3 linked regions of the Oryctolagus cuniculus genome follow. The protein of the gene in region 1 binds, or shares a complex with, the protein of each later gene. Links are inferred from orthologs where the notes say so. Each region holds a gene or a part of one and is shown in the gene's direction. Other genes may lie near its edges. The genes, in order: PDZK1, SLC15A2 and AKAP10.

Region 1 (4,102 bases):
GGTTAAAAAGCACTGATCTAGGCCCAGACTGCTTATGTCCAAATGCTGGGCCTAAAAACAGTTATGGGACCTGGGTGAGTTTCTCGGGCTCCTGGGCCAGGTACAATGCCCAGCGCTTAATAGGCGGACACATTTGGCCAGTGCTTTGTGAGCACCCATGGCAGGTTAGGCATGGCAGGGCAGAGGGAGATCACTAGAACAGTCTTCAGCTGCTGTCATGGACAGATACAGTCTCTAGAGTCGGAACAGCAGCCTTGACACCAGGTACCCCTGGGCAGATGTAGTGCCCTCTCCAAAAACGAGTTTGCTGATCTATAAAATGGTGATAGTGTTGTCCTCCTGGGATGATTGTGGGGGTTACGAGAGGTCACCTAGGTAACAGAGTGGCACACAGCCAGAGCTCAAAAACAAAATAAAGTTAGCCATGATTATTATTATTATTATTATTATTTAGAATTTATTATTTGAAAGGTGGAGTTACAAATAGTGAGAGGAAGAGACAGAGAGAGAGGTCTTCCATCCACTGGTTCACTCCCCAAATGGCTGCAGTGGCTGGTGCTGGGCAGATCCGAAGCCAGGAACCAGGAGCTTCTTCTGGGTCTCCCACAAGGGTGCAGGGGCCCAAGCACTAGGACCATCTTCTACTGCTTTCCTAGACCATATCAGAGAACTGCTCCAAGAGGAGCAGCCGAGACTCGAACCGGCGCCCATATGGGATGGAGGCATTACAGGCCGGAGATTAACCTACTGCGTCGGCCCAGCCTGATGATTTATAGGGGTTCTTCACATTGAAAGGAATATACAAGGTCCCAGGTACATCCACATACACGACTGTGTTTAGTTCTTAGAAAGCACTGAGCTGTTATTTAATTTATCCTGTGTACTAAGCATACAGAGGCTAGGAGAGATCTTGTGACTTCACAAAAATCACACTTGCTCCGCGCAGGAGCTAGGATGCTAAGCCAGGTTAGGAGAGTCTTGATCTTGGAGTCTGGTGTCTGTCCTCGCCCAGAGCTGCCACCCAGGAGAGCTGTAGTAGCAGCAATCAGGTCAGAAGCATAATCCTCAGGACTAGGAGAGGGGAAATTCTGAATGAGGCGTGCGGGAACGGGATTCGGTGGGTGACGCAAGGCGGGGAGTGGGGCATTTGGCTTCCAGGACTGGCTTGGCACCGGGAAGGCGCTGAGAAGGTCATGTCCCTTCTCTGGGCGAGCTTCCTGAGGGCTTGGTGCAGCGGGATGGGGGTGGGGGTGACGCGGGGTAGGGACTGCTTCCAAGAGCGCACGCGGGAGCCGGCTCGGCTCGCAGGCTCGGATGCGGCGAGACACTCAGCGGCGTGGCCCGGCCTCGCGGTACCTAAGGCCGAGGGAGAGCGGAGCGTGTAAGCCGTCGTGGGCCCTTCTTCGGGGCTGGGGGCAGCCGGGGGCAATGGGGCCAGGGTGCGCTTCCAAGAAGTGACCTTGGCGCCCCGCAGCGGTAGCACGCCTCGGTAGTGCGGGCCGGGCCCCGCGGCTTCTGCACTCTGACCGCTAGAGGGCGCTGCCTTCCAGCCGCAGCCGACGCGACCTTGCACCTGCGCCCGCGCGGGTCAGCGGCCAGGAGCGCGGGGAGGGGGTGTGTGTGAGCAAGGTGGGTCCCGGGGATGCAGCCAGAGGGAACTGGCTTTCTGAAGTGGGGCGGGGAGGGGGCCAAGGAGTCTGGGAACTTGCTGAGCTCCCTGCGTCCTAGAAGGTGGCGATGCCTGGAGCGGGAAGGAGGGTGCCGATCAACTTGGCATCCTCACCCCTGAGTCTTCCTTGGGGCCCCTGAACTGCTTTGGATGAGGGAGAGAGGGGTTGAAGGGGCTATGGGCTCTCAGAACCGTGAGGCAGCTGGGCAGGAGATTGCAGAGGACAGCACACTGCCCCCTCCCCCAGCCCTTTGCGTACTGGTCCTGGAGTCTTCACGTGATCTAGGACGGGTTACTTTACCAGGCTCAGCTTGTGTTTGAAGCTCCCTGGCAGGACTTCCGAGGTGGTTAAAAGTTAGAGGTTTGCCCAAGGTTTTGTGCAGAGTGTGGACTGTCTGATGCGACAAGATAGTGAGAAAGCAGCTTATTCCCCCTGGAACCAAAGCCTGGATCTAGCCTCTCAGAGGAGCCGGGGGTCAGCTTTGAGTTCCACGGACACCTCCCGGAGTCCGCATCTCATTTGCAGCTGTGAAGGGACTTCCCACCCTGCCACCCTCCATAACCCAAGTAGAACCAGGCTTGTGAGCAAACAGAGCTTCTGCCCTGACCCCTCTCAACACAGCAGAGTGGGGCTTCTTGGCTGGGGTCCCTCTGGTGGTCTGTTGAAGTCCGTGGAGCCCCCCTCTCAGAATAACATTTGAAAATTCATGAAATAAAATACAGAGGATAACAAAGAAAGCAAATCGTCTTAAGACGTTAGAAGCACGAGTGACCCAGGAGATCCATGCTTCTTAAGACCCAGTGCTGGCCCAGTTACTCCAGTAATTTCATAGGAGTCATGAGCATGAATGATGCTTGGCGAACTCGGCATGAACTCTAATGAGATTGGAAAATACCTGCGATTTCTATCAACGGCAAATTCTACTGTGATTTATTGCCTACATTCATAATAGAAGCAACTGCTACCTTTCACGTAGAGACAGGTGAAAATACAGATGTATTTTTCCTCCCAAACTCACAGAGCCCAGGAATGAATGTATTTATGGTTAAGGATGAATGAATGAGTCATTCTCAGTTAAGAACTGCTGCGGTCCAGGCTCCACGGGTGGCACAGGGCGGGGGTGGGGGAGAGGGAATGAGGCAACCATGCCTCCTGATTCTTCGGAGGAGGTCTTTGGAACTTGAGGGAAATTATCTCTAAGCCGTTTTTTTTTCCCCCAGCCCAGAATGTCTGGGTTTACTCTGCTACACACACTCCAGTGGCTGGGAGCCTGCCTTGCTGTATCTATCCCCAGGGCACACAATCTTAGGTCCCCCTCAGGGCCACCTCCAAGCTCCACGGAGCCTTGAGGGTGGGACTGTCCCAGCCCAGGTCTGGAGGGTTGATCTGGTAGAGGGTTGATCTGAATCTTGGAATCTTGGTAACTTTCCCCCCTGGAGTTCTTTCTCCTTCATCTCCTCTGTAGTAACAAAAAGATGACCCCTTGACATTCACCTGCCCCTCCCCAGCGCCTAGCAGAACAAAGTGCCTGGAGGAGTGGGAAGACTCCTCCACGCGCTCCCTCAGCCGCTCACCATTCAAGGAACCTCAGGATGGGCCAGAGAGTCCACAAAGAACATGGCACCGGCCACCCTCACAGGCAGCCCTGGTCCCCCCGGACTCCGGAGGGCAGGGAACTTTCCCCTTCAAGAAGCAGCTTTCCCGGGGACCTCCCTGAAGCCACCCCGCGGCTCCGACCCCGGGTCCCCGCCAGGCCTCTTTACCTCGGAACAGAAGTCTTCTTCCCTCTCTCCGCCTCCGGGCTCAGGCTGAAGGAGCTCTCAGCCCTCAAATTACTCTTTGGTCTTTTAAGCCCCATCTCCCCACTTCCGTCATCGCTGGCCTTCATCACTGTCACCGCCAGTCTTTGAAAACCACAGACCGGGTTTTAGCAGTCAGGGGTCTTCCTGCCTCTCTTTCCCCCACCCCCACTGAGGACTCACCTCCTCTCTCCCCTCCACCTCAGCCTCCAGTTCCTCCCCTCCTCCTCCATCCCCCCTCCTTTTTATTATTTTTAAGATTTATTTTTATTTATTTGAAAGAGTTACAGAGAGAAACAGAAAGACAGCAAGGTCTTCCACCCGCTTGTTCACTCCCCCATAGCCAGGAGCTTCATTTGGGTCTCCCATGTGGGTGCAGGGGCCCAAGCACTTAGGCCATCTTCCACTGCTTTCCCAGGTACATTATCAGGGAGTTGGATCAGAAATGGAGCAGCTGGGACTCGACCCTGCGCCCATATAGCAAGCAGGTGGAGGCTCAACCTGTTGTGCCACAGTGCCGGCCCCTCTTTTTTATTTTTGCATTAGAAATAGACTAAGATCCCGAGAGGGCTGAGAAAAAACACCCTTGAAATTATCTTCTGTACCTTGAGGCGTGGAGCTTGGTCACTTGAT
Region 2 (4,291 bases), on another chromosome or scaffold:
ATGCCGGCACTGTAAGCCAGGGCTTTAACCCATTGCACCACAGCGCTGGCCCCTTAACTAGTTATTTCTGACTGCTCATTTGTTTTACATACAGAGTGATTAACAAAAAGAATAACTATGGTTATTCATTAATACCACATTCAGAAATGAAGCTGGACCCTCCTTTGGGTACAGGTTGGTGGGAGAGAGAGGAAATGAAGGGTGTAATAGAAGCGGAGAAGATGTGGTCAAAGTCTGAGTTAAAGTTTAGGGAGGAAAAGACCTTATTTGTCAATGAATTATTCAAGTAGGTAATGTAAGAATTCTATTTTGCAAGAAATAGAATCATAGGTTTTCTCTCTCATATTCTCAAAGCAGTTTATTCTGGAATTGCCAGACTTCCTTGTGGTTATGCCTTTGCATAACTCTTAACCATTGTTTTCTCTTTTCTTTTGACTGACAACTAGAGGGACACCATGCTCTTGTTCTTTCCCTCCTTGACATAGCAAAAATAGCATGGTATAAAATGCATCTATTGTCATCATCTTTGTTCTCGTTTCTTCTCTGATAATGTCTAAATATAATATTCTAGAGTAGTTAGAGAGTCCATCCACTGAGAATTAAGAAAAGTAATGTTTGCACTGGTACCTAGAACATAACTGTTTTTACAGACAGTACCTAGAACATAATTTTTGCACAAATTAAATTTTATTTCTTTAATGAAAGGGGGTTTCATCTTGAAATGAGAAAATGAAAACTGACTTTAGCAAAGAAAAATGATTCCCAAATGTACATTACCAATCTTTTCCTCTCATTTTCTGGACCCCCACTTTTTAAATTGCTTAAATGATATTTTTAGCTGACCTTTACAATATCAGTAACTACAACCAACTCCTTTTACCTCAAGTTCAATTTTGTGATGACCTTTCCTCTTTAATGCATTTCAATTCACCTACATTCCTACTTCCATTTACATAGCTTCCATACCTGAATAATGGCCAAAGTTTCACAGATAGCAATCTCTACCCTTCCTATCATAGCATAATAAAAATTCCACATTTATCACTTACTGACAATGTTACATTGGAAAAATTTCTTAATTTCTTCGAACATTAGTTTCTATAAAACAAGGATAGTAGTAAGAAATAGAACAAATACTTATGTTATATATACATATTACATATGTACTTCACATATATTTATATTAACCTTGCACATAATAGGTGCTCAATAAAGCAGCTACCGGTACCCTCATATCAGTGTTTTGATCTGTGCTCAGGCACTCTTTTCTGAGCTATCTTGTAGGTATTTGCAAAGGTAATCTTTCTGAAATGTACATTTCCTTGACAATTTTCTAGCATTGGCTCATCACTCTTGTGACTTGTAAGGTGTTTTCCTTTCCCCATGTTTACCTTTTATACAATCGTTCTTTTAAACTAGAACACCAGCCCTTTCTTTTCCTATAGCTTCCTGCTTTGCTCTCAATCAGGCAGTTACTGAAACTGACACCCACAGGGTTAAACCTAGTTGCTGAAACCACCCCTTCTCCCCCCCCCCCCCACACACCCAGTACCCCTTTTCACTGTAGTCTGGCAGCTGTCCTAACTGCCTACTGAAGCCAAATGCTTGAGGAGAGAGAAAGAAGCCAGCCATGAATCCCTTCCAGCAAAATGAGTCCAAGGAAACTCTTTTTTCACCTGTCTCCACTGAAGAGACACCACCTCGACTCTCCAGCCCGGCAAAGAAGACACCTCCGGTAAGTCTCCAAATTCAGTTCGGCCTCTGGCAGCAGTAGCTGTCTTCTTTTGGCTTCTGTCCATGGCCTCTGAAGCTTCAGGCTGAGCTGTGCTAGATTATTAGAACTATTCTCTCTTGGAGTCAGAATTCACCTGCAAACAAAATCTAAGTCGAAGCTTCCTTTACTTAGAAAAGGAAACAGCAAGAAGAGGGAGTCAGAGTTCTACTGGGATCCAGAGCTCTGCTGTATTTCATTGCATTTTTGGAGTTTCTCTAGGAGGGAAAAAGGCAATTTGAATGTCCAGGGAAACTTGGCAAGCATTCCTGTCTAGAGAACTGTGTGTGATTGTTCCTTCTTTACCAATACAAAAACTCAGCCCTTAGTTCCCCCGGTGTACAGAGCCTTCTGCTGGACACCAACAGAAGTTTTAGATGAGAGCCCATCTCTGTTACTGTGTGTTCCCAGTTTACAGTGGGAGGTAAGACAAAGAAGCTGTAATGTTTTGTATTGCATGCTTGTTAAAACACTTCCAAATTTATTATTTCATTTATCCTCATGCCAAAATCCTGTAATTGGAGAGGATATAGTAATAATATCCAGGATTTACTGAATCCTTACTGTAGGCCAAGAGGTAGTATTATTCTCATTTCTTTGGAGTAACAGAGCTAAGGCATAGAGACAGATGTAGCGATATGGCTAGTGTGTCAGTATGTTAACACAGCCAGCAACTGTGTTACAGATAGTGAAGTACATTAACCAAACTCTTAGTTGCAGGATTCTCCAACTCTGAGCTGGGAAGATAGGATGCCCAGTTCTTTGTGGTGCATTAACATACTTTCATAAATTTGGAGGATTGTTAATGAATGTCTATATATATGGGTAAAAGAATGAAAGTGCTAATTTTTTATAAATATTTTTAAAATTAGTTATATCACTTCTGGTTCCAAAGTATTGAAATCTGTTAACAAAGATGTGTATACCTCCTATGAAATAAGAGGCAATATAAATCTTATGATAAGATTTGACTGTTTCAAGAACAGATATCTCCACCTGCATCTCATGTGACTTATTATAAAGGTAGAGGTTGAAATAAAACATGACATTTCTTATGTCTTGATTGGTATAGTGCATGATATAACATAATCCCTTTAATGTCCAGTAAGAATATCATGAAAATTTTATAGAATATCCTTAGTAGGAATAGTGGGCATTTAATTTTAGGGGACCTAAGCACTTTGACCAAAGTCTAAGTAATCAGTCAGCTTACCTTTAGAAATCTCTGCCTTCCATATTGAGCCCTGTGTCTGGCTCCAGCAGCCTCTGAGGGGGAAACCAGCCTAATTCCAGGGTTTCTCCCAGTAGGGCAAATGAACCAGATGCAGACAAGAGGGGTAAATCCCCAAAGTAGCACTAAGCAGGATACTATCTGGATTTCAGGTACTCACTTCATAGGCCACCTCTTCATTCTGTTGCTAGAAATAAATATGATTATTCTTTAGCCCAGAGACCCAGTCATTTAACAATTGTGGGAAATCAGCAGGTCCTAGAACAAGAAATGTATGAGCAGTAGCATATTAAATAAATAAGGAACAAGATAGCATCCCATTAGTTTCTGTTACTCTTAAATTAGAAATATGAGTACTTTTAATGTGATAATAGATGTTTCATGAAGGGTAGAGACCATTGCTCCATATCACCCATTATAGCCACTTAAATAAATGAATCTCAGTTGTGGAGCAATCTAGTGTTTAAAGTAGACAAAAATAGCTCATGCTTGAACCATTGCCTTTCTGTTGCACAGAAAATCTGTGGCTCCAACTATCCACTGAGCATTGCCTTCATTGTGGTGAATGAATTCTGCGAGCGTTTTTCCTATTATGGCATGAAAGGTAATTTGATGTCCAGGGTCCTACTCACCCCATGTTTTTAACTCCCCGCTCTCCTTGTGTACACTTATTTCCCTTAACTACTTTTTCTGCCTTGGTCCAAATTGGTCCTTTCCTTCAGCCAAAATCTTCAGCAAATGCTTCATAGGATTTTATATAATAGCTCATGCAAGCCAAGATTTGAAAGACCTGACAGAAAGCAGGACACAGCCTGTGAGAACCTAGGCGGGAAAGCTCTCATCATCACAATTCCATTCCTGACACTTGTTTGTCAGGTCTAAAAATCATATTGTCGCTTGGGAAAGAGGAAAAAGAGAATCTCAGAATCACCATGTTGTCTTTGTAATTGTCCTCAATGCCATTATGAGTGCACATAGACTGAAGGGGGAGTATTTTATGTGTATAGTCAGTATAACCCTGTCGACTCCCACGACTCTCATGGCCCTGCTGCTACTGCCTGGTGGCAGTCACCCCTTTGTTACTTCACTGATGGAAGTGCCAAAAGCCAGGAGCAACTTTAAAGACCAGAGGTCGAATATACTTCTCCATGTCACTGTAACATATTGATCTTGTTTTGTCTCCTTTTTTTGCACCGTAGCTGTGCTTACCCTGTATTTCCTGTATTTCCTGCACTGGAATGAGGACACCTCCACATCTGTCTACCATGCCTTCAGCAGCCTCTGCTATT
Region 3 (3,508 bases), on another chromosome or scaffold:
TAGTATTGTAATATTGAGTTATCTCCAACACATTGGTAGTTAACTTTATTCTGAAGCCTGAAGGACAATATTACTTCTTCAGACTACAAAAGAAAATATTTATTGTGAGAGTACATTACCTTAAGTGGCTTGAACTTTAACCATTAATGTATTTTGTTAGAATAATTTTATTACTCATTTAAAAAATAATTATTGTGAAAATATTTTTCTAGTCCCACCAAGCCAAGCCTTTATTCTGCATTTTTAGTTTTGCTTCTGAAACAAGCAAGGACCAAGGCATTAGAAGAAGTCTGTTTCAGAACACTTCCTAGCTTTGGTGCTTTCATTCTCAGTAACAATTCTCAAAGTTCTGTTTAATTTTCATTTCTGACACAATATTTTTAGAGTTATAAATAATACTGAAATGTTTCTTAGCTATTTTCTGTTGTGTAAGTTACCTTTTTTTAATTTTTGTTGGGTGTACCAACTTGAAGTATTACAAAATATAGTTTTTAAAGTTCTCTTATAAGAGTTTTGAACCATTAATTGTGTTTAATTTTTAACAATTTTTTGAAAAATTATAGCTTCAATATCCGTACATTCCCCACAAAAAAGCACTAAGAATCATGCCTTGCTGGAGGCTGCAGGACCAAGTCATGTTGCCATCAATGCCATTTCTGCCAACATGGACTCCTTTTCCAGTAGCAGGACAGCAACACTCAAGAAGCAGCCAAGCCACATGGAGGCTGCTCATTTTGGAGATCTGGGTAAGTAACTTTTTGCTAACTTGCTTTTTAAAAAAACAAAATATTTATTCATTTGAAAAGCAGTGTTGCAGTGAGAGGGGGAAAAACAGAGAAAGAGAGATGTCTTCTATCTGCTGGTTTATTCTCCAAAGGGCTGCAGTAGCCAGGGCTGGGCCAGACCAGAGCCAGGAGCTAAGAACTGCATCCAGGTCTCCCATGTGGGTGCAGGGACCCAGGCACTTGGGCCATCTCCTGCTGCTTTCCCAGACACATTAGCAGGAAGCCAGTTCTGAAATGCGGTAGCCAGGACTCAGACCAGCACTCCGATGTGAGATGCAGGCATCACAAGTGGCAGCTTAACCTTGTCCCTCAAGGCTGCCTGCCACCTGTGTTAATTTCTAATAGGAGGGAGATCTTGAGTACAGTACATGAAACTGCTGTCATAGGAGAGTGAGCTATATAATTGGAAGGGGCTTTGAAAAAATGGGTTTAAACTAAAATCACAGCACCAAGTATAATGGATGGCCCTATGTTCTCCTGTATATACATAAAACATGTCCAGTAGCAAAATGAACAGTTTCTAAATAAATATATTTAACTGTTTAATATAAATATATGAAAATGATATTTCATTTGGCTAGTGTTCAGGGAAATGCAATTTAAAATAATGAGTTACTCCTTGACACATTAACATATTTAAAGTTTGCCAAGGCTTTGCTGTTTCTTCCTAAGTGCTTCTCCAAAAAGATTTTGCCAGTATGTTGTCATCAGTGTGTAGGAGTGTTGCTATTTCCCTTGTTAGTATTTGTTATTAACTAAATTTTTTTCCATGGGGGGGGGCATTTGGTCTAGCAGTTAAGATGCTGGTTATGTTGTCTAGATCCCACATCGGGGTCCCTGGGTTCGATTCCCAGCTCTAGCTCCTGATTCTAGCTTCCTGCTAATGCAGATCCTGGGAGAAAGAGGTGATGGCTCCATTAGTTGGGTTCCCGCCACCTGCATTGAGTTCCTGGCTCCTAGCTTCAACCCCTTGGCTGTTACAGACACTTTTTTTTTTTTTTTTTTTTTTGACAGGCAGAGTTAGTGAGAGAGAGACGAGAAACAGAGAGAAAGGTCTTCTTCCGTTGGTTCACCCACCAAATGGCCGCTATGGCCGGTGTGCTGTGCCGATCCAAGGCCGGGAGCCAGGTGCTTCCTCCTGGTCTCCCATGCAGGTGCAGGGCCCAAGCACCTGCCTTCCCGGGCCACAGCAGAGAGCTGGACTGGAAGAGGGGCAACCGGGACAGAATCCGGTGCCCCAACCAGTACTAGAACCCGGTGTGCCGGCACCGCGGACGGAGGATTAGCCAAGTGAGCCGCGGCGCTGGCCTGTTACAGACACTTTTGAAGAGTAAACCAGCAGATGGGTGTCCTCTCTCCACCTCTCTAATAAATAAATATTTTTCCCTTTCTATAAGCAAAAAATGTCAGCTTTTTTAAATTTGCTTCCCTGGGATTTTTAATGGGGTTGAATATTTTTTCATATTTTTATTGGCCCTTTTTCTTTCTTTGGAACTAGTATCATTTCTTTCTGAAGAATTTACATAATCTGAATGGCCTTAAAAGAGATACTAGGATTAATTGAGTGATAGAACTTTTCAATAATTTAAATAAGTTTTGGACAGTTGTTTCTTTACTTTGTTTAGAAACTAAAACTGATTTTTTTTTAGTTCTTTACTCATTTTAATTGTTAGGAAGTAGACTTTTTTAAGATTTGTTTATTTAGTCATTCACTCACTCATTCATTCATTTGAAAGAGTGACACAACATGGGGAGAGGTGGAGATCTGGTTCACTCCTTAACTCCATTTGGTTCCCACATGTGTGAGAGGAACCCAGGTATGTGGGCCATCTTCCACCGCTTCCCAGGCATATTATCAGGGTGTTGGATTAGAAATGGAGCAGCTGGGACTAGATCTGGTGCTCTGATATTAGATGCCAGCATCACAACTGGTGGCTTAATAATGCCAGCCATTTTTTTCTTCTAATTTTTTTAATTTATATATTTGAAAGGCAGAGTGACAGAGAGAGGGAGACACACACATACACACACACACACTCACTCACTCTGTCTTTGCAGTAGTTCACTCCCTAAATGCCTGCAACAGCTGGGTTTGTGACAAGTGCAAGCCAGGAACCAGGAATTCCATCCAGGTCTCCTACCTGGGTACAGGGGCCCAGGCACTTGGGCCATCTCCCACTGGCTTCCCAGGCCATTACCAGGGAGCTGCACTGGGAGCAGAGCAGCCAGGACTTGAACTGGTGCTCCAAGATGATGCTGGCATCACAAGCAGTGGCTTAACCTGTTGTGCCACAGTGCTGGCCCCAGGAAGTAAATTTTATTCAAGACCTCTGGTACCACTGTTGCTAAAAGTGATAGATTCATCTGTTGCCTAAAATTGTTTGTACTGAACTGCTAATTCCTTTGTTTCTGACTTTTAGGCAGATCTTGTCTGGACTACCAGACTCAGGAGACCAAATCAAGTCTTTCAAAGACCCTTGAACAAGTCTTGCACGATTCTGTTGTCCTCCCATATTTCATTCAGTTCATGGAACTTCGGAGAATGGAGCATCTGGTTAAATTTTGGTTGGAGGCCGAAAGTTTCCACTCAACGACTTGGTCCCGAATAAGAGCACACAGTCTGAACACAGTAAAACAGAGCTCACTGGCTGAGCCTGTCTCTCCATCTAAAAAGCACGAAACTACAGCATCTTTTGTGACTGAGTCTCTTGATAGGAGATTGG

What was found.
Region 2: the proteins of PDZK1 (region 1) and SLC15A2 are in contact, whole or in part, in a crystal structure (PDB 6EZI), measured with the Homo sapiens proteins. The link is inferred for Oryctolagus cuniculus from reciprocal best matches to the Homo sapiens genes PDZK1 and SLC15A2. Residues at the interface, in NP_001188254.1 of Homo sapiens: Asn386, Gly387, Tyr388, Gly389, Phe390, His391, Leu392, Asn393, Ala394, Ile395, Arg396, Gln407, Tyr436, Glu437, Val440, Ile443, Gln444; in NP_066568.3 of Homo sapiens: Glu723, Thr724, Lys725, Lys726, Thr727, Lys728, Leu729.
Region 3: the proteins of PDZK1 (region 1) and AKAP10 are in contact, whole or in part, in a crystal structure (PDB 3TMH), measured with the Homo sapiens proteins. The link is inferred for Oryctolagus cuniculus from reciprocal best matches to the Homo sapiens genes PDZK1 and AKAP10. Residues at the interface, in NP_001188254.1 of Homo sapiens: Asn386, Gly387, Tyr388, Gly389, Phe390, His391, Leu392, Asn393, Ala394, Ile395, Arg396, Phe402, Lys404, Tyr436, Glu437, Val440, Ile443, Gln444; in NP_009133.2 of Homo sapiens: Pro655, Leu656, Glu657, Lys658, Ser659, Thr660, Lys661, Leu662.

What each region holds. Positions count from the first base shown.
Region 1 is NC_091438.1:49,176,970-49,181,071, forward strand, and holds the start of PDZK1 (Na(+)/H(+) exchange regulatory cofactor NHE-RF3), read left to right. Parts: upstream 1-1,294; 5' UTR 1,295-1,381; intron 1,382-4,102. UniProt on the Homo sapiens protein: A scaffold protein that connects plasma membrane proteins and regulatory components, regulating their surface expression in epithelial cells apical domains.
Region 2 is NC_091435.1:78,166,433-78,170,723, forward strand, and holds the start of SLC15A2 (solute carrier family 15 member 2), read left to right. Parts: upstream 1-1,490; 5' UTR 1,491-1,630; coding exon 1,631-1,735; exon of another isoform or gene 1,736-2,215; intron 2,216-3,518; coding exon 3,519-3,606; intron 3,607-4,201; coding exon 4,202-4,291. UniProt on the Homo sapiens protein: Proton-coupled amino-acid transporter that transports oligopeptides of 2 to 4 amino acids with a preference for dipeptides. Transports neutral and anionic dipeptides with a proton to peptide stoichiometry of 2:1 or 3:1.
Region 3 is NC_091448.1:60,475,094-60,478,601, forward strand, and holds part of AKAP10 (A-kinase anchor protein 10, mitochondrial), read left to right. Parts: intron 1-563; coding exon 564-746; intron 747-3,205; coding exon 3,206-3,508. UniProt on the Homo sapiens protein: Differentially targeted protein that binds to type I and II regulatory subunits of protein kinase A and anchors them to the mitochondria or the plasma membrane.